Linked DNA regions of Cricetulus griseus. The protein of the gene in region 3 purifies or fractionates together with the protein of the main gene of each other region. This does not show direct contact. Links are inferred from orthologs where the notes say so. Each region holds a gene or a part of one and is shown on either strand. Other genes may lie near its edges.

Region 1 (7,852 bases), on a different chromosome or scaffold from region 3:
AATGGGCCTCAATAGTAAAACACTTGCCCAGAATATGAGTTCTGGGTTTTGATCGAAAACACCACCACCAAAAAGGAAAAAAAAGAATACATACACACACACACACACAGTTTGGACTCAGGGGGAAAGGAAAACTCAGGGGAAGAAATGGCTCTTGGATAGTAAAACGGCTAGCAGCCTGACACCACCCAAACTGTTTCTCCACCTTCAACCCACCCTGGATCAAGTGTGGTTTCCATCCCATACCCAGATCTTTGACGATAGTTGCCAAGGGCAGCCGCACCGGAGGGTGAATTTTCAGTGGCGTCTTGGCAGCCTTAGGAAGTCGGATAGAGCCTGGAGAAAGATGAAAGCCTCTGGATATTCTGCAGATTTGTTCTGGCTTTTTGAAATGGTCTTGCTGTATATATAGCCCTGGCCAGCCTAGACTCTGCTTCTCCAATACTTGAGTTATGGGCATGTATTAGAATGCCTACCCTACTTGAGTCAGGGTCCTATGTAATCCAGGCTGATCTGGAGCTCACTACCTAGACCAGTCTGATAGGAACTAGGTAGTTATATCTACAGCCTCCAAGGCATGAACCACCAGACATGACAGATCAAAATTTCTGAAGGAACTTCACTTCTCCGGCCTCTTCTAGGGCCAAAAGTTAAACCTTATCTAATAAACACCCTCTGTGGCCTACTATCATTAAACAACAGTCTCTAGCCAGAGCAACTTAGTACTCATCACTACTACCACTCCAGTGCTTACACTCTGCCTTGATGGCATTGGCATTGATAGGTGCATAGGGTCTTCGGGCAGCCCTCCTTGGCTGTAACAGGTCTCTGCACATCCGTCTAGCAAGACGAGTCAGCTTTGTGGTCTGGAGCAAGAAAGTTTGCCTGTTCTTAGCCAGCAACTTGGCCCGGTTAGCGCTGGTTGTATAGGGTGAGAGACTTTGGGCTTCAGGTCTGGATAAATGACCTCTTGAGTGTGGCTCCTGGAGGAATGACATATGAAAAAGGGAAATGGCAAGTCACTCCTTTCCTCCATTTCCTGAAGACAGCAAACTATTCTGCCTGAACTCTACACTAGCACTCCACCCAACTTTCCTGGCTTCTCAACCCTTAGCAAGTGCCTCTGTCCATATGACTGTCTCCATATTAAGGAGTCAGGTTTCTAACCTTTGCCTAAAGCTCATATCTGTCTGTATGTCTACCACTCTCCCCGTCCCCTACCTCTTTTTGCAGTGATTCTTTTCTATTGGTTGAGACGGTGTCTACTATGTAGCCCTGACTAATCTGGAGCTTACTATAAATACCAGACTGGCCTCAAACTCACAGAGACCCACCTGCCCCAGCCACCACACCCAGCTCCCACCAAGTGATTAAGTCTTACTGTAGTGCCCCGAGCTGCTCCTTCAAGCTGGGTTGGGGTCTTCAGTCCCCCATACTTCTTCCAGTAAATCCAGCAGGAAGCACAAAGACGACACTGCATGTTAGGTGGGCCCCAGGCATACCACTGGGCAGACTGTGTAGCTACAGGAACATAGAGAACAGAAACATGCTAGCAGAAAACATGCCACCCGAGCTCCTCAAATTTCTAGGCCAGAGAAACAGGCCATCCTAGGCCACCCACCCCAGCATCCCTGTCCCTCTTTGAAACTCACTGTGGCAGCTCTCACAAGTAAGGCCCTTCTGGAATCCAGCCCCATTCATGCCAGGTTTTGAACCCACAGAAATGATCTGGTTAGGGTTTGGCTTAGTACTAATGAAGGAAACAAGAGAACATAGAAGCTAGTCAAAGAAATAACTCACTTCTATCTGTCCCTCCCTTTCCTACCACCCCACCGCACCCTACCCCATCACTCTCTCTGGAATGCTGGGAATTAAACTAGGACCTTGCCGACAGTAAGCCCATGCTTATCACTGAACTACAGCTTCTACAATTTGCTTCTGCCTCCTGCTCATCCCCAATCACTAAGAAAGAAACAAACTAGGAGAGGAAGAGAAACACTCTCCCTTCCTGCCACACTTACTAGGTGGGGATGTAGACCTGTTTCAGTTTGCTGTCTGCTTCAGCAGCTTTCAATCTTTTCTGTTAGAAGGAAAAAAACAGAAATTCAGACCATCTCAGTACAGATGAAATCAAACAAACCAAAAGGCAGAGAGGTTAGTAGGGGGCCTCTGTCCAACCTCCCGGCCCTAAACCATACCTGCTGAATATACCGATCTGTGGTTTTCCACATGTAATAAAACTGGACTATGCTTGCAAGTGACTTCCAGGGTAGCTAAGAACAGCAAACAGAGGTTGAGATGGCATCTGGCCCTAGGTCCTGACTCCCTGTTCTCACCGCTTCTAGTCCTATTCACTTACAAAGTCCTGGCGGATATCATTGAAATCCTTCCCGTACTTCTCTAGAGCCTCTTCAAATAGCATGGCTTCAGAAGCGGACCACTCCTCCATCTCATCTCGACACAGCACTGGGCCCCCCTGTGGCACCAGGGTTGACATGGCCTTGGCCAAGTCATAGCCATTCTTTTGCAATGTGTCCATGGCATGGAACTACCAAATAGAAAAGAAAACTGATGACTTGCTGCTCTTTGAGTATACCTACTGTCTCCATGACTCCCTCCTCTCCTGCCCCGATATGCCCAACAACTTGTGCTTACCAGGGTGATATCCCGGGATGCAGCAGCTGCACTCATGTGCAAGCTCGGCTGCCGAATGGAGCTGCTGCAGTCTAGGGCTCTTGCAAAGGTTCCCACAGCTCTAAGGAGAGATTGACAAGTCAAGAAGGGAAGAAAAAAGTTCAAGCAGCCTCAGGAACTAAAGAGAAAAAAAAAAACAGATGGGCCTCAGAACAGGGCTCACTCCTCCCCAGCCCATCTTCGGGATCCACCCACCCTCACCGGGCCACCACTAGAAACTGGTCAATCTGCCGGTCTGTGAGAGGGTTGTCTGGGTCCCAGACTTTCATCTCCATCTTCTGTTGGTTTCGATTATCTGATTCACCTGAGGAACCAAGCAGACAGCATCACCAGTGAGGGAGAGAGGGGGAAATAACTGATAATCTTAGTCACTCACAATAACTTCTTCCTCTTCTCTGCTTGGATTCTTTTTTTTTTTTTCCTTTGTTGTTGGTTTTTTCCCCAAGACATGGTTTCTCTGTGTAGCCTTGGCTATTCTGGAACTTACTGTAGACCAGGCTGGCCACAAACTCAGATCCACCTGCTTCTTCCATCAGCCACATCAAGCCTCCGAATTCCCCTCCCAGCTGTGCCCATTCCTCTCTTTCAGGCTCCTAAGTCCCATTCTGGCAAGGTCACAACAGAAAATCTAAGATTGTACAGAAACCCCAAGTCACGAGATCCACAGAAATTTACGTTCCAGCACATCTACTCTGTTGCTTACCTTCTGTCAAGCGATCTGGAATCTCAGCTTGGAATTTGCAACCAACTCTGATCTCCCCTTGATCAGCTAGAAGTGTCTTCTGCACCGGGTCAAACACCAGTGAGTAAAAAAAGCAGTCCTAAAAATGGAGAGAGAGAAGTTGTGGACAGGAGCCCACATGGCAGTGAAGCCCAGCCCTCTTCTCTCAGGATGTCCTTACCTCCTTTTCCAGATACTGGTTCAAGATATCTGTCTCATTCAAAAGAGTTACACTGCACTTCCCCCTAAGACAGGCCAGAAAGTACTGAATGAGCAAGACATACCTTCTACCATCCCCAACACAACACCCGCTTCTCTCCATTTCTAAACAAGGGCACATACAAAGGCCACAGGGACCCAGACCCTCCTATACCTTATGTGGGTGGCAGGTAATGATTCAAACTGCCGAGAAAGAAAGAGCTCTCGGTGTTTCAGTTGATGTCTCTGCTGCTCTGAGACCCCCGGCTGCTTTGATTCCTCCTCAAACTCCCCTAGAGGAAGGAACAAGTCAGAAACAAGGTACTCCGAGGTGGCTAACTAGCTCAGCTAAAGAACACCCTACCTCAGCTGCTGTCTCAGTTCCCTCGGGCATCTCACCCTCACTCGCCCAGCTTTCCCTTTTGGCCTCACGCCTCACTGTGGATGCTCAGTCCTCTCTTTAATTCCATGAAGGGGAGACCTGCATAAGGATGCCATAGAAATGCGCCCCAAACCTAGTTGCCAATGCTGATGCCGCTCTAACACACAAATATAGCCACAATACTGTATGTTACATTTAGCTCTTTCTTGCTGAACCAGCCTGACGTCCTAGAATCCAGCTAAGATGTAAGAACAGCACACAGGATTTATTTATCAGCTCCTCTTCATGCTTCAGGACTCTTTGCTGTACCTGAATATCACATGCAACTGACTTCTCCTTCTCTTTCTACTTGGTTAATAATAGTCTGTGGGGCTTTCAAGAAAAGCACCTCTCAAACCAGAGCCAACACCTTCCTCAAGAGGCAGCAGCTTGCACTGAAATCTTGGTGGAAACAGTTAACCTGGCTAAGTGCCAAACAAAGTGGGCGGGATAGAAACTTAAGCACTTGTTCATTGGTGCATTGTTCCCCTGAAGAACTGGGTGTACCACAGCAAGTGGGGAGGTGGGGGAGGTCCTGTGTCTGTGTAGTAGGCTCCACCTCTCCCTGGTGTGCTCTAGAAAACCCAGGGGAGGGCAAGGAGGACCACACCCCCTACCCATTCTGATTGGACAAAGCCAAGGTCAGCCCCTGCCAGATGGGGCTAGAAACCCCAAAGGGCCAGGAAACTTGGTAGGCCCAGCTCATTAACTCTTTCATGGCTGTGGCCTGAAAAAAGAAAACTTTAGGGAAAAAAAGAGGCAAAGTAGTTAAATGGGAAAAATGAGAAGATGAAGTAAGGCAGATGATAACTGGAATAGAGAGGGAAACAGGAAAGCTCAAGCGCTTTCCTGCCCTCTAGCTTCCGTCAGCTTCGTCAATGTTTTGGCTTCACCTCCAGACGACAGGATAAGCCTCCCCCATTACTATGCAGGATTCTCAAAACAGTATCTTCCTCTCCACCTTGACCATCGCTCACTAACCACTGTCCCAAAGTACCCAAAATGTCCCCACGTGCCTTCTCTAAAGCTCTTTTCATTCCCTATCTAAGTATCTCTCCTTACACACACACACACACACACACACACACACACACACACACACACACACACACACACACACACACCACATTCTGGCTTTTCTGATCATGGTCTCCCCACCCGGCTTCCAGCCCCAGCCCCAACATGTAACAACAGGCCTTGCTCTGCAGACCAGGCACTTCCCACCTCCAAACTCATACCCTGCCTTGGGCGTGTTACCAGGGGAAACACCTGCAGGAACAAGTCTAGTCCTCAGATCCTGGGGAGGGGGGAAAGGGGAAGGAATGAAGACACTCACTAGCATTACTGTCAGCCAGGCTGTTGAGGCTACTAGAAATATCCCTTCTCCTGAAGAGACAGACAACCTTTGCTTCCACATTGCCATTGGCAGTCTAAAGAAGGAAGAAAAACAGGGCAATGAAAATTAGCCATTTGAAAGTGGAGGTACACTAACAGGCACTCTCTAAGGACTTAAGTAGAAGAGGCCAAAAACTCAGCAATGAAGACTTAATATTCAAAGATAATTACAGGACCAATGAGATGGGTCTCCATAAGTTTGCTAACCTGATCACACAGAAAGTTCCAGGCAACCAAGGCTGCAAAATAGACACTGTATATTTAAAAAAACAAAAAAAAAACAACAGAGACAGGATTCTTTTATCCCCAGATGTGAGAATGATAAAGCTTCAGCTAAGCTCTCAGCAGCTCTATACATGGAATGAACGCTCGCTCACCTGTATAGGCTCTAAGCCTAGGTAAGGCTGGCTCTCCCTTCCACTTGGAGTTAGACTCCAGAAGAAAGAAACTGCTCCATTTCTGCTCCACTCACCTTGTTTAGCTCCTCAATCCGTCTAACCAGGTAAGGATTGCTAGAGGAGTTCTCAAAATAGACGTAATCTGTAGAAGGGGGTGGGGAGAAACAAGATCAGAAGAAAACCAGAGCACCCAGAAGAGAAAGTGGATTTGGGTGGACCAAAAAAAGACAAAATGCTAGGTAGAGATGTGGAGATGTGCAAGAGGAAAGACTTAAGAAAAGAAGTATAGCTGGGTGTTGGTGATGCACGCCTTTAATCCCAGCAGAAGCAGGTGGATCTCTGTGAGTTCGAGACCAGCCTGGTCTACAAAAGCGAGTTCCAGGATAGGCTCCAAAGCTACACAGAGAAAAACCTGTCTCGAAAAACCAAAAAAAAAAAAAAAAAAAAGAAAAGAAAATAGGTATTAGAGAAGGTGGTGGCGCATGCATTTAACCCCAGCACTCAGGAGGCAGAGGCAGGTGGTTCCCTGTTGAGTTTGAGACCAGCCTGGTCTACAGAGTTAGTTCCAGGACAGCCTCCAAAGCCGCAGAGAAACTCTGTCTCGAACCCCACCCCCCATCCCCCCACCCCCGCAAAAGAAAAGTATTAGTTGGGCAGTGGTGGCCAACAGCACTCAGGAAGCCGAGGTAAGCAGATCTCTTCCAGTTCGAGGACAGCCTGGTCTATAGAGCAATTTCCAGGACAGCCAAGGATAGACAGAGAAAGCCTGTCTCGAGAAAACAAAAGAAAATAAGTATCAACCGTCTCGAGGAAAAAAAAAAAAAAAAGAACGAGAAAAGAAATAAAAGAATTATCCAGACAGTGATTGCTCACACCTTTAATCCCAGCAGAGGGAGGCAGAGGCAGGTGGATCTGAGTCCGATGCCAACCTGGTCTATTTCCTGAGTTCTAAGACAGCCGGGGGGGGGGGGCGGGGGGGGAGGGAGAAAAGTTTTTACTCCCACCCTTGCAACACTTAGCGCTAAAATCAGATTCTCACTCAAAAGTCAGATCCTAGCACTCAAGAGGATCTCTGAGTTCGAAGCCAGCCTGGTCTACAGAGTGCGTTCCAGGACTGCCAGAGCTACAGAGAATCCCTGTCTCGAAAAACCAAAGAGACAGACAGACAGAGTCGAAAAACCAAGAAGTGAGAGAGGAGGGGGAAAAAGATAACAAGGATTTCCCTGTAGTCCACACAACTCTGCATTGGAGTTGCACCCCTGCGTGGGAGAATTGAGTAAATTGTTCCCCCCACCTCAGGCCTCACCTTCGTGAACGAACAAGCCGCCAAAGAAAAGAAAACCCCTGAGCGACTGGCTCCCCGCAGCTGGCCCCGCAGTCACTCAGTCCCCTTCCAAACCAAGCCTACTTCCCACCCCGGGATCCAGTCGCAGACTCAAGAGCACCGATCGTTGTAGGTAAGCCTCTGCGGGAGACTCGGCTCCCAGTAGCGTCGCCGCCGCGGAACCATAGGTCTCGGTTCCGGTTCCGGTCGGCGCTGTGGCCCCTACGACCCCAGATGTTGCTCCCCGCGCCTGCGGACACCGAGTCTCCCTGGTCCCGTCCCCAACCTCTTCCGCCCGGTGTACTCACCTCCCACACGGTACATGTTAGCCGCCATGGCCGTTCCCGCCGCGGCCTCCGGCCGCACAAAGAGGACCCGGAGGCTCGCGGGGGTAAAGCTTAGCTCCAGACGATGCCCCCAGCGTGGGGCTGACGCTTCGCGGAAGTGTCGATGGGGCCCGCGCAGCCGGCACCTCTGCTCGCTCAGCCGTCGCGGTTCATCACTGCTCGCACGAAGACCACGACGACACTGCTATAGCCTCACGCCCGGGATACCCAGGCCGGCGCCGGTCTGCTCGGCTTCTTCCGGAACGAGCTCGGTTCCTGCCTGACCGGAGACAGATTCCGGCTCCTAGCGTCTTCACCGAGTCCCAGCAGACGCCGTATGGTGCCAGCCCCTGAGAAGGTTTGCCCTGCCCGCGT
Region 2 (7,878 bases), on a different chromosome or scaffold from region 3:
TTAAATTAAAAAAACATGTAAGCTAAAATAAATAAATAAAATTTATTTTCAGTTATATGTGTGAGTATGAGCGTGTGAATGGAGGCCAGAAGATGGGAGTCAAATCCCCTGGAATTGGAGTAACATACAGGAGGTTGTAAACCATATGATGTGGGTGCTGGGAACTGAATTCTGGTCCTCTGCAAAAGTGGTATGCACTCTTAACCACTAAGCTATTACGAAAAGGGGAGAGGTGGGGAGGGGGTTAGAATGATGGCTCAGTGGTTAAGACCACATACCATTCTTGTAGAAGACCTGATTTGATTACCAGCACCCACATCTGGCTGCTCACAACTGCCTTTAACTCCAGCTTCAGAGGATCTGACATCCCTCTGTCCTCTCCAGTCACATGCCCACATATACAAGTACATATAAATAAATAATAAAAATATAAAAAAAAGGAGAAAAATGTGCATGTGTGTAGGTAAGAGGACAACTTTGTCAGTCGATTCACTCTTTCAACCAAGTGGGTTCTAGGGATAAATCTGAGTCATCAGGCTTTACCCAAAGAATTTCTTGCCAGTCCAAGTTCCTTCCATATTTCCACCCCCCCCCCCACAAGACAGGGTTTCTCTATGTAGCACAGGCTGTCCTGGAAGTTGTTCTGTGCACCATCCTAGCCTCGAAACTGAGATCTGCCTGCCTCTGCCCTCCTGAGTGCTGGGATTAAAAGTGTGCACCACCACCCGGCTCCATACTTTTAATCTAATCAAGTTTAATATTCAAAAGGGCAGCACTGACTGAATCTAGAGAATATATCAAACTCTTTCTGGTTGATTTTATATTTTTCTTAGGAGATGAAGACCATGAAGAGGATATAATCTCTCAAGAGCTGAAATTCTAATACAACACTGTTGAAGGCCTGGCATTCTTTCCCTTTGAAGATCCCTTTCTTCATGAATATAACTCCATGGAGCAGTATCACGGTATAGCTAGAATTGTAAATCCCCAATAACTACTATTAGTGATTTACTGGGTATCTTTTAGTTATTTGAGAAAGGCTATCCCTATGCAACACCCCTAGCCAGGAACTCACTCTGCAGCTCAGGTTGACCTTGGAATACTACAGCCTCATCCCTCAGACTCCCAAGTGCTGGGATTACAACATGGATAGGTTACCGTATCTCTTTATGGTCAACTAAGACCCTCTAACTACTTCACTACTCTCTTGCTACTCAAAACACATGCCCTCCAGTGCTCTATTTTTACACTAGGTATGTACATACAAAACCAAGTTCTGGCTTTAACTGATTTAAGGCACCTGATCAAAGCAGTTTATAAAAAAAATAACGGCAGAATACAACTATGGTGCTATGAGGAGACATTAATACGTTGACAAAGCACTGATTTGATTTTCCACTCTGAACAACTTCTAGGAAAATCAAGAATATTAATGTAGAGTATTGTTAACATACACATTGGTCCTTCAATTTGGAAGCTATACATCTAATAAAGCATCAAATTCCTTTACAAACTCACACAAGTAAGTCAGGCTTGCAAATCAGTTTGACACGGTTGTCTGAGGGAAGCAGTGCCTGGACAGTTGGTTGCTCCAAACCCCTATTTACAGTATTTGGTTAAGGGTGGAGGGGTCTGTCAACAAATCAAAATGTTTGTGAGAGACTGCACGTTATAACTGTAAACACAGTGTTATAGAAATACAGTTAAGTGGCTCATATATATAGTCAACCAACATATAGAATGAATTTCATTATCTTTAGCTCTGGGCCTACATGCAAGTTGTAGCATGTGGTCTCAAATCCACTTGAAATGTTATTGATGGTTCAGGAAAAGGACATTAAAGGCTCTCAAATGCATTCCATTATCATTATTTAAATTACCTTCCTACTGTCCATTTTCACTGTGTTCATACAAGCACATCACTTAACCGCCTCACATTAAAAGACACAGTGCAACTACCAAGGCATTTAGGGGGACATCCTACAAGTGGTCAGCATGTACTTTTCAACCTCACCTTTTTCTGGGTGTTCTGGTTCTGGTTGATTGCTACTGCTGGAGCTCACACTTGCATCGAAGCCTGCTGGTGAGCTATTTCCCTCTGACTGGAGGTCCTGGAGCTCCCCCACAACACTGTCCACCTCAATTGTGCTGTCAGTTTCACTCTTGATACTTCGAACCTCCTCCTGGTTTGGAGCCAGGGGCTCTGACACTGTGACAGAAGACTGCTGCTGACTAGCTTCTGTCACAGTGACTGATGAAGGCGACTCCGGTGTAGTAGGCGGGGTATTAAGTACAGAATTACTGCCACTGCTCGGAAATTCTGTTTTTCTGTCACTAACCTCTAGAGGTTTTTCTTCAACTGATTTATTGTCCACACTGGCTGGCAGTGGCTTCTCTAGCTCTACAATGGGTGAACAACTCTCCTCTTCCGTCACAGTCTGCAGTGACTCCTCTACTGCCCCCTCATCTGGGGCAGGATGGGGTGGAGAAGCTGCAGCCTCAGTGTCAGAGTCAGAGAAAAGCTCTTTTAGTGTCTTCTTAGGCCACTGTCCCTGAATACTTGACCAGACGTCTTTTCTATCTTTAGCCCTGCTATTCTGAAGTCTTTCATCAGAGTTATTTAGAAGTTTTATCCTTTTTTCTGCTACTTCTGAAAATCCTGAATAGAAACTAGTTGTCCGTAGGGATTTTCTCTTTTCCTCCAAGCCATTATATTTCTTGGTTGGTGTCATCTTTGCTTTGGACTTTTCTTCTTCATCTTCATCTGAGGAGCTATTACTACTGTTTTCTGTGCAAAGCAGCTCTTTGCTCTTGGTTCTGTCTTCCTTCTTTCCAGGGGATCCAGTCTGCAAGCATTCTTCTGTATTACAATATCTTCTTTTTCCTCGTTTTGTTTGTGGCTTTAAAGATTTATCTGTTGTGTCTTTCTTAACATCCTTTCTCTTTTTTGTGATTTCATCATCTTCTTCAAAATCAGTATCTTCTGATAATCCTTCCACATCTTTTCTTAATCGTTCTGGAGATTTTGTTTTAGCTATTACCAAATCTGTGTGGACTTTGTTTTCTTCTAGCAAAGATGGACTACTCTGTTCCTCTTTTGAAATAAGCTCGTTTCTGGTGTGGGTCAAATGGTCTACCTTTGATTCGTCTCTGCCACTGTTGTCTACGTCCTGAGCACCCCTCTCGTCTTCCTGCTCACTTTCTTCAGCAGAACTTTCAGAAGCTAAAAAATAAGAGGGTGGGGAGTAATAAGCCTAGTAAGACTATTGTTTATGTCTGCCTCAAACAAACAAAAATGGAAAGAAAAACTTCTATCCTAGATGCTAGGATTTAAATGTCTTCTTCAAAACTGAAGCTGAAACTTAACTGACACTATGACAATACTGGCAAAGTGGGAACTTTAAGAAGTGCCTATGTCATGAACAGACTGATGTCCTTTTCACAGTAGTGGATTAGCTATTGCATGACTTACCACTGTTGTGATGCTCTCACCACAGAGGGCTGCTCAATGCCCTCAATGCAAGAAATAAAAATCCTTTTCTTTTTGTGTTCTATCCAGGCTGTAGCATTTGGTAAACTAGTGAAAAACAGACTTAAAAAAAAAAAAAACAAAACAAAAACAAAACAAAAAACCTGTAACTAGAACAGAAACTTTTTCAAGTGAATACAACTAGGAAATTTGCCATTTTCTTGTACTTGCTCTTAAAGTACTAGAAAACATTGTCATCAAAATGAGACTATGGAGGGCTGCAGAGATGGTTCAGCAATTAAAAGTATTTGTTGCTTTTGTAAAGGACCTAAGTCCCCCAGCATGCACACGGTGGCTCAAAACCATCTCTAACATCGATTCCAAGGGGTCCAACCAATGTTTTGACCTCTGTAAGTACCAGGTACTTGGTACAAATACATACATGCAGGCAAAACACACACACACACATAAAATAAATCCTTAAAAAATATTTTTACTGAGTATTCAGGACAAGGAAATCCTCAATTTAACAACAACAACAACAAAAAATCCAAAACCTATATTAGAGAACAGCTCTTGATTCTTTCTATCCAGCCAAGTCAAAAACAACATTTTTCCTCAAGATAATTCTTCCTCAAGATTGCCCTCCCATTCCCAATATTGGGGTGGGGGTAGGAGGACGGAATGCAGGTAGGGGCAAGATAGGGTCTCTCTATGTACTCCTGGCTATCCTGGAACTCACTATGTGCAGTGAAGACCCACTTCCTCTGCCTTCTAGCCAGCTAATCATTCTAGAATGAACCACCTACCTCTCCAAAGAAGGTATTACAACAAATCTTTCTCTAATAAAGCACACTCTGAAATCAGAATATAACCTAGAGAATCTGATCAGACAAGTCTCTGTGTAGCTTCAGCTGGCCAAGAACTCACTCTGTAGACCAGGCTGGCCAGAAACTCTCAAGAGACTGCCTGCCTCTGCCTCCTGAGTACTGGAATTAAAGGTGTGCACTACATTTGGCCCCAACAGCATTAAAGGCAACCTCAACCTAAGCTTTCTCATAAATTGAGGCTTACATTAAATGTTCACTATTGTTTTTAAAATAAACAATATCTTATTTAGGAGTATACTCATAAATAATTAAATCCTACTTTTTAAAAAAATGTTACATAAAGTTAAGGTAGTAATAACTCCTGAGGAGGCACACCTAATTAACTGCTACCTGCTCGTGACTAAAGTTGTCTAATTCTTGTTCTTTAAACTATATTTTTTCATATAGTAGTCTACATGTCAGATACATTAGAAAACTTTTAAGGCAAACTTTAGAATAGTATATAGTAGCAGGCTTATATAATGAATCCATATACAGTCTTCTGAAATAAAGGAGAAAATCTAATTTCTATTATAGTCAAAAGTAATAAAAACCAAAACTTAAGTTATGAGCAGTTTAAAATATTTTTAGGGAAAGGAATTAATTTACTTTGTAGATCAGATCCCTGTTCCAATACATTTTCATGCCAGATTTAATAATCTCCAATTCTCAAAGCTTTTTAGATATAGTTTATTTAGTATTTTATATGGATGAATGTTTAGCCTGGATGTATGTGTGTGTACACACACCAAACGTTTGCCTGATGCCCGTGGAGTTCAGAAGAGGGTGTCAGATCCCCTCCACTCTGGAGCTAGATGGTTAATGAGGTGTCATGTGGGGGCTGGAGATTGAACTCAGGACTATGCCAGAGCAACAAGTGCTTTTAACTACAAAGTCATCTCTCCAGCCCAGTTCTCTGTTACTATTTGCTTCACTATTACCATGTGTGCTACCATAACAGCATCATAAAAAGAACAAACAAGCAGATGAGTTCTTCACAAATAACTTTCAGAATTGCTTTACAGTCTTAATACACAGCACAACTATGTTTTAGACAGCATCACAAAGGACAGTGTTTGACAAGAAGTAGAGAAACCCAACACTGGAGGTGCCCAACTAATAACACACACAGCAAATTCTGGTCAAAAAACCAACCTGAACTACTTTTATAGAATTTAACTTTTGGAATTTTTTCTGGGTGGCAGGAGGTAGGAATACGTGGATTTTTTTGAGACACTCTCTTGATTTATTACTCAGGTTAGCCTCAACTCTCAATCCCCCTGCCTCAGCTCTGAGTACTGGAATTACAGTCATGCACAACCACATTTAAATTCATTTAAATATTTATAGAAATTAAAATCAAATACTTGCATGCAACAGTTATATTTACCTTGTAGTCCATTAAGAATGGAAGTAATTTCTATAGATTTAATATGAGCTGTATCGGAGTTTTTGGCATCAGCAAGGTCTAGTTTTGAAACCATCTCAGGAGATGGATTTGACTGAAACGGTGGTTTTGACAAACGTCGAAGTTTACAGTTCTTTGGAGAGTATTTTTCATCTTTGTCTTTTTCTTTGTCTAATTTATTCTAGGTAAGTAAAGCATTAGATATTAGCTATAATGTATTATGAACAACTTATTAGTAACAATATTCATTCTATTTTAAAGAAACATCAAATGCCTATTATTATTATTAATATTATTAAATGTTTAACTGAGAAAGAATACCAGAAAATGCAAAAAGAAAAACTTCAAAATAATCAGGTTTATTTTAGGTTATTCATGAAAACACTGAGATGAAAAAATTGTTCTGTATTTACAGTCTAGCAGTAGGGATCAAACAGAAAAGATGACTAAGAGTAGGAACTGAGTATTGCTAATAACTGCTACAAATTCTTGAAAATTAAATAATAGATCCAAATTTAATATTTATAAAATTAAACACTCAATTTCAACACTCATATTAAAATTGAACATTCTCACTGTAAAGTACAATAGCCAAGTTCTGTACTTTGAAATTTACAGGAGAAATTACATGCATTGACAGGCTGTGAAGTGAGCTCAGAGGCAGCCTTCCTACCTCACTCAAAGGCTGATACTTTTCTCACGCTCAGTTAACAAACAAATGAGTCAAGGCTAAGGTAATTCCTATAAGCAATGTTTTTTGTTGTTTTGCAATTTAGGCTCTTCACAGTATGACTTAGCAACAAAAATTCTTAAGTCCTATTACATAGACAGACTGAAAACATGAGTGATTATTTTCACAAGTCTCTAAAAGATAGTACATGGGAAAAATACTCCCTTACATGTAACAGTTAAAATTTGGGTAGCGGCTGTTCTCCAAGTGGGGTCCTTAGCCAGCAATTTCTGAGAACTTGCTAGAAAAGCAGACCCCTAAAAACAAGATGAATCAAAATGCTGACAATGGAACCAGACAGCCTGTTTTAATGTGTTCTCCATGTTATCTGGTACATGTTTCAATAATAAGGATCAAGGGACTGGGCCTAACTTATAGAACATCTTTAAAAGGGCAGGTAGACTACCACAGCCTATGTCTACTGTTACTCCCATCATTTCAGCATTTCATGACTTGATCTCAGAAATCACAATGTACCATGTGCACCAAAGGCTGAAACAATTCACTTCAGTCTAAGTTCAAATATATTTTTTAGTGGCTGTCAAATGAGTTTCTCCAACAAGGGCTCTTAAAGAAAACTGGGAGGGAGGGAGGAGGGAGGGAGGGAGGAAGGGAGGGAGGGAGAAGGAAGGAGGGAAGGAGGGAAGGAGAGAAGGAGGGAAGGAGGGAAGGAGGGAGGGAGGGAGGGGCAATACCAAAGAGTAATGCATAATAAAACTTTAAAAAACTTATAGTTCTCAAGCCTCTTTCCTTATGACCAAGAATTTTAACATGTTTAGTTTAGTACCAAGCAGTGGACAGAGACAGACATTCATAGAACATTTCATGTGCATGACCCAAACATTGTTTCTCTGACTCATCTACTCAGCAATGCTATTCCAAAGCTTGCTTTGTACAAAGACATGAATTTTTAACAAACATTTAGCAAATGTTCTTCCAGTTACTAAAAACAATGCTAAATATAGCATAATTTACATACTTTCCAATAAGGACCAACAAAAAATGTAAAGGGTTTAAGAAATCCTGAGCTTTAGGTACTGGAGTACTGTACTAGAAACTTAGACTCAAGTTTACAGTGATAAAAGGATTGCCAACAAGATAAATAAATTCAGCATCTGAGACCACAAGGGGTCTCTAAACAGGAACATAACAATGTTTCATTGGACTAAGAAGACTTCAGAACCACTACTAAGCATGTGAACTACACACAAAGTATAAAAAACCTTCTTAAAAAGATTAAAATTTTGCGGGGCGTTGGTGGCGCACGCCTTTAATCTCAGCACTCCAGAGGCAGAGGCAGGCAGATCTCTGTGAGTTCAAGGCCAGCCTGGTCTACAGAGCAAGTTCCAAGACAGACTCCAAAACAATACAGAGAAACCCTGTCTCGAAAAACCAAAAAACA
Region 3 (8,547 bases):
GTAAAGAAAAATGAACTCAAGAAATTTGCAGGTACAACGATGGAGCTGGAAAGTGTTATCCTGAGTAAAGTAACCCAGACCCAGAAAGACAAATACTGTTAGGTTCTCACTCACATGTGTATCTTAGCATCAGATCTTTAGATCTGTGAATTTAATTTGGGGTCCTGAGGATTTTAACTTACATTTGCTTTCTTTTTAAATTAATACTGTTTTGTGATAGTTAGCCACAAATAATTTCAGAGCCAGAGCAAATTCCAGCATTAGGTGGCTTCATATCGGTGGGAACAGAATCATGATAAAAGCCACAGATAGAGCTGAGCAATTTGTTAAACTGTAGGTCAAACTGAAATTCAGGTGCTGCTTTAATGTATGCAGTACTGGCCCAGTATGGTATAGCAATTACTTCTCTGTTGTGATGAACACCGTGACCAAAAGCAACTGGCATGTTACCATCTATCATCAAGGGAAGCCAAGACAAAAACTGAAGCAGAGACCACAGAAAAGTACTGCTTATGGGCTTGCCTCCCCTAGCATCCTCAACTACCTTTCTTTTTCAAGACAGGGTTCCTCTGAGTAACAGTCCAGACTGTCCTGAAACAGTCCAGGACTAGAACTCACAGAGATCCTGTCTCTGCCTCTCACGAGCTGGGATTAAAGACATGCGCTGCCACTTTGGCTTTGGCTTCAGCTGTCTTTCTACACAGCCCAGGCCCACTTCCACATGGATGGTACCACCCACGGTAACCTGGGCCCTCCCACATCAAACAACAACCAAGAAAATGCCCCACAGAAATGCCCATAGACCAATCCGATGGAGGTGATTCCTCACCCAAGAGTCCTTCTTTCTGGGTGCGTCTATGACTGTCAGTGTCAGGCTGAATAATCTTAGCACCAACACTTAAGAATTTAGGAAGAGCAAAGCTGAGCATGTCATTTGTTAGTCAGAGGGTTGGGCTTCAGTCTGCATTAAGGGTAGTAACTGTAGAAGGTCTTTCTTGGGCTGGGGCTGGAGTTTAGTTGTGGGTTCACTTAGCATCCACAAAACTCTGGGTTCAGTTCTAGGCACTACAATAAAAAGTAACTCACTCACCATAGGGCAAGAACCACAGCGGGAGTATGAACTAGAGTATCATCTACTTGTCTGTAAACAGAGTCTCCAGGCATTAATTAGTTAAGTAGACTTTTAGCACCAGAGAGGAGATGAAGCTACTCTGTAGGAGAATAATTCAAATTATTTTATAATTATTTCTATCAAATAAAATGAAAAATCAATCAAAGGCAATGAACTGAAGAAGAGTCGGGTGTGAGCATCTTCATCAGAAACAATAGACAAGTGAAACAAGACTTACTAAACATAGCCTAACAATCACTGTCCTTGCTAGGTTTACTGAGAAAAAAATCAAACTTCTAAATTTTGTCAGTGGATTGGAAAATTGGTGACATTTAAGATCTGGGGGAAAAAACATAGGAATTATAAGACTAAGAAGTGTAACAAAACCCAAAAAACTATGGGTGAATTTTAGAGCAGAGTGGGCACACCTAAATAGAGAATGTATGACTAAGTGTAGGTTAAAAGAATCCAATGGAAATTTAAAACAAAACATAGCCACTGAAGATAAGGTAGGAAACACAAAGAGTACAGTAGGAGGCCTAACATATACTGAATTGGAGTCCCAGAGATGGAAGAAATGGCATGGGAAGGCATGAGAGCCTAGAATTTTCTAGTATTTGATTAAATATATTAACTTATAACTTAACAAGTACGAGAGAAAAATGACCATTTTAAATAATAAAAATGTATTCACCAATTTTCACGGCTGTATGAGAGTAGAAATTCACAGATAACACGGGCAGCTTTGAGTTTCTCCGTGAATCTGTCCTAAATCTGTTAGTAAATCGACTAAGTCTAAAACGGCTTTCTTTCAAAACTCCTCTACCTGAAATACATTATTTTCCTTTAATCATTGGGATAGCTAAACAGTCCAATAATTAGCATGACCACGCCCATCCTCCCACCCCTCCCACCGCAGGCTCAGGCAGGAATACACGCCTACGCGAGCACAAACACGTACCCAGGCGCGCTCCCGCGCTCCCGCACCCACCCACCCGCGACACATACAAGCATACATGTACGCATGTGTATGACTCAAGAAACGAGGTTTTTCTCTCCTCGTCCCCTACGGCCAGCGCTGCCAAGTTTCCGAGCAGTCCTGCAGACCTGGTGGCAGTGGGGATCCTTTAAAGGTTCTTAAACCCCTCCCCTCTCGGATCCGTTTGCGCGGAAGTCCAGGGCAGCAGAGGCAAGCAGCAGTCCGGCGCCTGTCAACCGGTTGGCACACGGGAAGTACACTGCGGCGTGGAGATGGAGATGCAGGACCCAGCGCCTAACGAATGCCAGATCGCCCGAGTGTTTTCCATAAAGAAGAAACAGCCCACAAACTTTTTCTCACTTATTCCCTAGTACCCCACCGCATACACGCACTGTTTATGTTTCTTCCCAGGAGTCGGCTGGCCGTCTGAACACTAACTTTACGAAATAACAGGAGCTAAAAACAGCCCTTGCTCGTAGGAGATAAAAGAGGCGAGAAAATACAGTAAAGCCTGACCTCATACTCGGATTTGCCCGGTGCTTGGAATGGAAAAAAGAAAAAAACCTCACGGGTGGCTGGCCGCGCGGTGTATGCTGGGATTAGTAGTTCGTCCAGCACGTAATCAGAACGGAGCGCAAGTGGGCTCCGCGACCGAGAACTACTATTCCCGTGGGGCCGCGCGGCGGTGGAGGGGCGGGGCCGGAGGAGGGGCGTCTCACTCGCGCAGGTCCCGGGGCTGGAAGGAGGCGGTGGAGCCGCGGTCCAACTGCTGAAGTCTCCATGTGACAGTGAGTGGGGTCCCCTTTTTAGGAGCCACTCCACTCCCGATCACAGTCCCAGGAACCCGCCGCTATTCCAGCGCCCACAGACCGACAGGCCCGGGACTCTGGGCGTCGGACCGTGCCGCCGCCACACTTGGGGTGCGGAGTGAACGGCCGCCCCGGGGAAGGAGGCGGAGCGGCGCGGCGAGCGGGGCTCTGTGGCGGCGCCGGCGCCCCCGAGCTGGCAGACATGAACGGCTTCACTCCGGAGGAGATGAGCCGCAGCGGGGACGCGGCCGCAGCCGTGGCCGCGGTGGTCGCTGCTGCAGCTGCCGCCGCTTCGGCGGGGAACGGGAACGCGGCTGGCGGTGGGGCAGAGGTACCCGGTGCTGGTGCGGTATCGGCTGCTGGTCCCCCCGGAGCAGCCGGTCCGGGCCTCGGGCAACTCTGTTGTCTGCGGGAGGACGGCGAGCGGTGCGGGCGCGCGGCTGGCAACGCCAGCTTCAGCAAGAGGATCCAGAAGAGCATCTCGCAGAAGAAGGTGAAGATCGAGCTGGACAAGAGTGTAAGTGGCAGTGGGACCGCCCTGCCCAGCCCTTGCCCTACCCTGCTTGCCCAGCCCGGTCCTTGGCGGAGGCTCACGAGTCGTCGGGACCGGGCTGCAGGTGGGATTAGTGGGTTCTCCGACTGAAACAAAGTCGCTGCAACTCTGGCCACCTCCCCCGGCGCGCCCTGGCGCAGTGGTGCAGGTCCCCTCCGCCCCTACCCCGACTCCGGCCGCCTCGCGTCTCTCCCACTCCAGGCTTCCCTCTTCCTCCTTTGCTGCGATCTGGAAACGAAACAAAGGGAACCAACCGCGTTACCGAGAGCCCAGAGTAGTTTTCTTGTAGCCGGGCAGCCCCTTCTCTGGAATGGAGGCGCCTTTGTTTTGCTGCCCGAGCCAGCGTCTGACCCCAGGGAGTAGCTCCGCTCCTTTAGGGAAAGTCGAGTCTGGCAGGAACCCACGTCGCAGAGAAGGGAAATCTCCCCCCTGCATTCCCCTCGATATTGTTTCTCTTGAACACGCAGAGGGAAGCCGAACTCACCAGTGCCTTACTGGGAGGTGGTTGTAAACGGTGTTTGCGGTGTCAGCTCTTCGTGCAGCTGCTCCGAACCGAGGCTGCAAATAATCCTCAGTGGTTTTACAGCCCACTTGGCAGCCATCGGGATTTTTTTTCCCGTCTTTATGCACGTTTGCTCTTTGGGCCAGCTATGAGGTTTCAGAGAGATCCTTTGCTACTTTCCAGAGCTCTGGCTGGTGGCAAATGAAGAAGAGGATACAGAGCCTCCACACATCTGTATATTTTTTAACTTGCTCTTAGCTTAGTAGTCAATTTAAAAGGCCCTTAATTGTGTAGCCTTAAAGGGGGGAGGGGGAGACTGTCAATCAGCTCAGTATTTCCAATCGCTCATTATGTAACTCTCAAATGCCTGTGTAATTGTTTGAAAAGTTTGTGTTTCTGTTTAAGCCGTTTTTCAGTAGGACCCATGAGAAATGTTGCAAGTGAATGTGAATAATTTCTGTGTTCTTTAATTGAAAGCAACACAGTACAGATAAATACATTCATTTAATTCTTACAAAGAAATGTTAGTACTTGAAATTTAAACATAGGATATGAATTCAATAGCGCATTTGTAAAAATGCCTAGTTAGTATCTGTGTGGAATTTGACTAATTAGTAAGATTAGGAAGCATATACCTAACATTAGGAGCATTAATATGATTTGCTGCTCTCAGATTAGAGAAAATTATCACCTCTTCCCTTGTACCTTCAAAATCAACGGGAGCTAATTTATTTAGGTCATCCTCAATGCAATTTGATGACAAACCCCAGAGGGTTGGAATTTCTCTTCCTCTGTCTGCCTGCCTTCTCCCATGGTACCACTCTCCTTCCCCTCCCCTCTCCCACAAACAGTATTGCCAGACTGCTAATGTTAGAGTCAGGTAACCGGTTTGGAAAGGAACGTTACATTGTCTTAACAGTGGCCCGCTTAGACTGTTCAGTCATTCATCTGGGCCTATGTGTTTTACTAACACAGAGATGCATTGTTCTGTATTCACTGTCTATGAAACTTTGTTTCAGGCAAGACATCTTTATATTTGTGATTATCATAAAAACTTAATTCAGAGTGTTCGAAACAGAAGAAAGAGGAAAGGGAGTGATGATGATGGAGGAGACTCACCTGTTCAGGACATCGATACTCCAGAGGTAGAGCAAAGTTTTATTATGTTAAATGTAAATCATAAGCATGCTGGCAATTCCAAAGCCTTTATGTAAATATTTGAATTAAGTTTTAAATGTTTAAAGCATCTGACAAATCTCAAAATTAAATACAATCAGTTAACATGTATTTATACTAGCCGGGTGGTTGGGTGGTGGTGGTGGTGGTGCAGGTGCATGCCTTTAAACCCAGCATTCGGGAGGCAGAGGCAGGCGAATCTCTGTGAGTTCCAGGCCAGCCTGGTCTACAAAGCTACACAGAGAAACCCTGTCTCGAAAAACCAAAAATAAATAAGTAAATAGAATAAAACATGCATTTATACTACTATTAAATCTCAGGTGACAGTTCTTGTAGCCCTTGACCTATAACTTCCTTTTTTTTTTTCCTCTAAAAGCTTACACTATGTATCCCCAAAAGGTGAAACTAATAAACTCTAGATCTGACTGTGGAAAAGAAATTGTTCTTGTGCTGAAGTGGACATTGCCCTTTGCTTTACAGATCAGTGATATCTTTTCAGCAGAGTGAACTATGTTACATCTTAATTTTTTTTTTCTAGGTTGATTTGTACCAATTACAAGTAAATACACTTAGAAGATACAAAAGACACTTCAAGCTTCCAACCAGACCAGGCCTTAATAAAGCACAACTTGTTGAGGTATGTATAATTTTTATACGGTATAAACAAACCTGTTCACACCAACAAGGGTTGTGATTAAATGATGATGAAATAGGTAAATGTCTAATGTCTAAGAAAGTCAGAGTTAATGGGTCTATCATGGTGTGCATATAGTGGTTTAGAAACAACTGTCTGTCACCTAGAAAATCCACTTACAGCATTTTTTAATAGGGATTTCTCAGAGTAAGTATTTAGTGAGTTTTTAATCACTTCAGAAATCTGTTTTAGGTTTCTAATTATTCAATGTCTGTTTATTGAACACCTAATTGAGGCATAACAAATAAATAAGCTTACAAGCATTTATCAGAATTTAGTTTTCAAAGCTTCTCTGGGATAGGCCTACAGATGAACCCTGAAGCAGTACTTCCTAACTTTCTAGTTTTACTTTCAGGTTGTCTTTGTTAGTAGTTGTTGTTTTTAAGTAGAAGATGCTTTCTTTACATCGAGAGAGAGCAAAGATTTTATCCAAGCTTTTACTTAAAGTTTATTTTGTATAGGACTTTGGTTCCTTCAGAGTGCTTTGGAAATTAGCTGTGTGTGTGTGTGTGTGTGTGTGTGTGTGTGTGTGTGTGTGTTTTCAAGAAGTAATAGAGCCACAAAATCTGTGCACTTTAAAGTATTTACAGATTTAAATAATTAGACTTTATATGTAAAATAAACTTTTCCACTAAATAGACAGGACAGAAATCTCTCTCTCTCTCTCTGTGTGTGTGTGTGTGTGTGTGTGTGTGTGTGTGTGTGTGTTTACATGAGTTTTCTCATATTCTTGGGTTTGACTTGAGTAGTTAGCCTACATTTCTAATGTGCATATTAAATAAAAGATAAATACAAGTTGCAATTCTTTGTAGAAAGTTCTTTTACATTATTAAAATTCAATATGCTAACTAGCCAAATTTTCTCCTCTATTTTTTGCCTAGACAAAAATATAATTTTTCTTCAAATTTTATTTAAAGATCTAGTCCTTTTACCATGGCACAGTACATAAACATAAAGATGTTCCCTACTATGATGAAATATACTAGACATTAATGAAGTATGGTCGCCCCTGTTTTGTAACAGAGAGGAGCCAAGAACTGATGCAAACGTTGTATGATATAACATCATATAGTTTATAACTCAAATCTCAACTTTAAAGTCTGGTCTTCTAAAAACAGTTGAATTAGTACAGAGTTATTTTCTGTTCTAGAAAAACAGGCCATCTTCTGGAATCGGAGTGCACACATTAGCAGCTCAGTTTCTTATTCGTGTTGGTAGCTCAGTGTGCATGTTTGGTTTGTGCTGTGAAAAGACAGGGAAGCAGTCTTCTTGAGCGTCTTTCTAGCTCCTTTAATTTTCTTAAATCTTACTCAGAAAATTTTGCTGAAACTTAGGGAGAATGAATATCAATTGCACCAAAATTGTATATGATATCATAGTTTGTTACCAAGGGTTTTTGTTGTTTTGTTTACATTAATCTTTTCCTGTGAATGCAGTCGACATGCACGTTGGCTCTTTTGTTTTATGTCATTGATATTTAATGTTTAAGAATATGTACTTTATAAGTTGTTAAGTTTAAAGGGAAAAATACTTATAACCAGTGGACCAAAGCAAGTAAAATACTTAGAATTAGAGCATATGAATTGAGTAGACTAAAGGGTCCTTTGAAATCAGACTGTCCTTTGTTGATAATATTTTGTTTTTTTTAAATGTGCTTTGGGGCCTGTTCATATTTTGTTAAAACAGCTTAATTTTTAAAAGACAATCTCTTGTGGCCATATAACACATGGCCTAAACTGTGCCTTTTTTTTTTTTTTTTTAAACTGTGCCTTTTACCTGGCTCACAGAATCTGCTGCATCTAACATTTAATTTGTTTTTTTCTTTGTAGATAGTTGGTTGCCACTTTAGGTCTATTCCAGTGAATGAAAAAGACACCCTAACATATTTTATCTACTCAGTGAAGAATGACAAGAACAAATCAGATCTCAAGGTCGACAGTGGTGTTCACTAGGAGAGATGGCATTCACACTAGCACATAGATGTCTGGCTGTAAAGAATGTTTACTGTTTTTCATATGTAGAAATGTTCTTGGGTATTTTTTCTACAGAGGATTTTCTTTGGCTTTTTTTGTTTGGTTTTGATTCTAATAATTAGTTGGAAACTCATATGAAATGAGCTTCCTAAATTAAAACTATTTTAAATAAAGGTTATTACTATTATAGCTGCTTCAGTGTATTTATTTTGTGAAACTTAGTTTTTGTTTTAAGCTTTCAGGAATTGGTATTAAGGTTTCAGGTAAAGATCCTTATTTTGTAAATTTTTCTTGAAAATTCCAAGTAATTAAAGGTAAAGGAGAAACAACAGATAAATGTAATTTCCCTAGATCAATTTGATTTGTAAGTAAGTGTGTGGTGGTGGTGGTGGGGTGGGGGGGGGCGTCTGTTGGTTTTGAGACAGGTATCTCTGGCTGTCCTGGAACTCAGAGATCCACCTGCCTCTGCCTCCCAAGTGTTCAGACTAAAGGCAAGCTCTACTTCAGGCTAACAGTGTTTTTTTTTAAAATACTTCACAGTGTATGTTAGCAGGTTTAAAAATTAGACTTCCACTGATTCTTAACTACTTTTAAATTTCCCTTTTGCATTGTTATTATTATTCTTTGAAGGCATATGAAGAAAAACAGGTAGTTTCTGTGCCTCTCTCTTTCCAAAGACACCCTACATTCCAGCAAAGGTAAGCACAGCGCTTGCTCAGAGTTGAAATAAGAATTCATGGAAAATAACTC

What was found. The genes of interacting proteins can lie anywhere in the genome.
Region 1: the proteins of Sap30 (region 3) and Mta2 purify together in Homo sapiens (affinity purification with mass spectrometry; 3 studies listed by BioGRID, with this or other methods). This does not show direct contact. The link is inferred for Cricetulus griseus from reciprocal best matches to the Homo sapiens genes SAP30 and MTA2.
Region 2: the proteins of Sap30 (region 3) and Arid4b purify together in Homo sapiens (affinity purification with mass spectrometry; 5 studies listed by BioGRID and IntAct, with this or other methods). This does not show direct contact. The link is inferred for Cricetulus griseus from reciprocal best matches to the Homo sapiens genes SAP30 and ARID4B.

Annotation. Positions count from the first base shown.
Region 1 is NC_048596.1:51,146,908-51,154,759, forward strand, and holds part of Mta2 (metastasis-associated protein MTA2), read right to left. Parts: 5' UTR 7,488-7,852; coding exon 7,460-7,487; intron 7,187-7,459; exon of another isoform or gene 7,134-7,186; intron 5,970-7,133; coding exon 5,902-5,969; intron 5,465-5,901; coding exon 5,371-5,464; intron 3,907-5,370; coding exon 3,789-3,906; intron 3,661-3,788; coding exon 3,597-3,660; intron 3,516-3,596; coding exon 3,398-3,515; intron 2,999-3,397; coding exon 2,896-2,998; intron 2,756-2,895; coding exon 2,656-2,755; intron 2,549-2,655; coding exon 2,360-2,548; intron 2,274-2,359; coding exon 2,199-2,273; intron 2,081-2,198; coding exon 2,022-2,080; intron 1,751-2,021; coding exon 1,653-1,750; intron 1,522-1,652; coding exon 1,382-1,521; intron 984-1,381; coding exon 755-983; intron 337-754; coding exon 247-336; intron 1-246. UniProt on the Homo sapiens protein: May function as a transcriptional coregulator. Acts as a component of the histone deacetylase NuRD complex which participates in the remodeling of chromatin.
Region 2 is NC_048596.1:237,302,723-237,310,600, reverse strand, and holds part of Arid4b (AT-rich interactive domain-containing protein 4B), read right to left. Parts: intron 5,928-7,878; coding exon 5,729-5,927; intron 3,224-5,728; coding exon 2,015-3,223; intron 1-2,014. UniProt on the Homo sapiens protein: Acts as a transcriptional repressor. May function in the assembly and/or enzymatic activity of the Sin3A corepressor complex or in mediating interactions between the complex and other regulatory complexes.
Region 3 is NW_023276806.1:235,754,561-235,763,107, reverse strand, and holds Sap30 (histone deacetylase complex subunit SAP30), read left to right. Parts: upstream 1-2,801; 5' UTR 2,802-3,101; coding exon 3,102-3,416; intron 3,417-4,973; coding exon 4,974-5,099; intron 5,100-5,668; coding exon 5,669-5,767; intron 5,768-7,653; coding exon 7,654-7,776; 3' UTR 7,777-7,986; downstream 7,987-8,547. UniProt on the Homo sapiens protein: Involved in the functional recruitment of the Sin3-histone deacetylase complex (HDAC) to a specific subset of N-CoR corepressor complexes. Capable of transcription repression by N-CoR.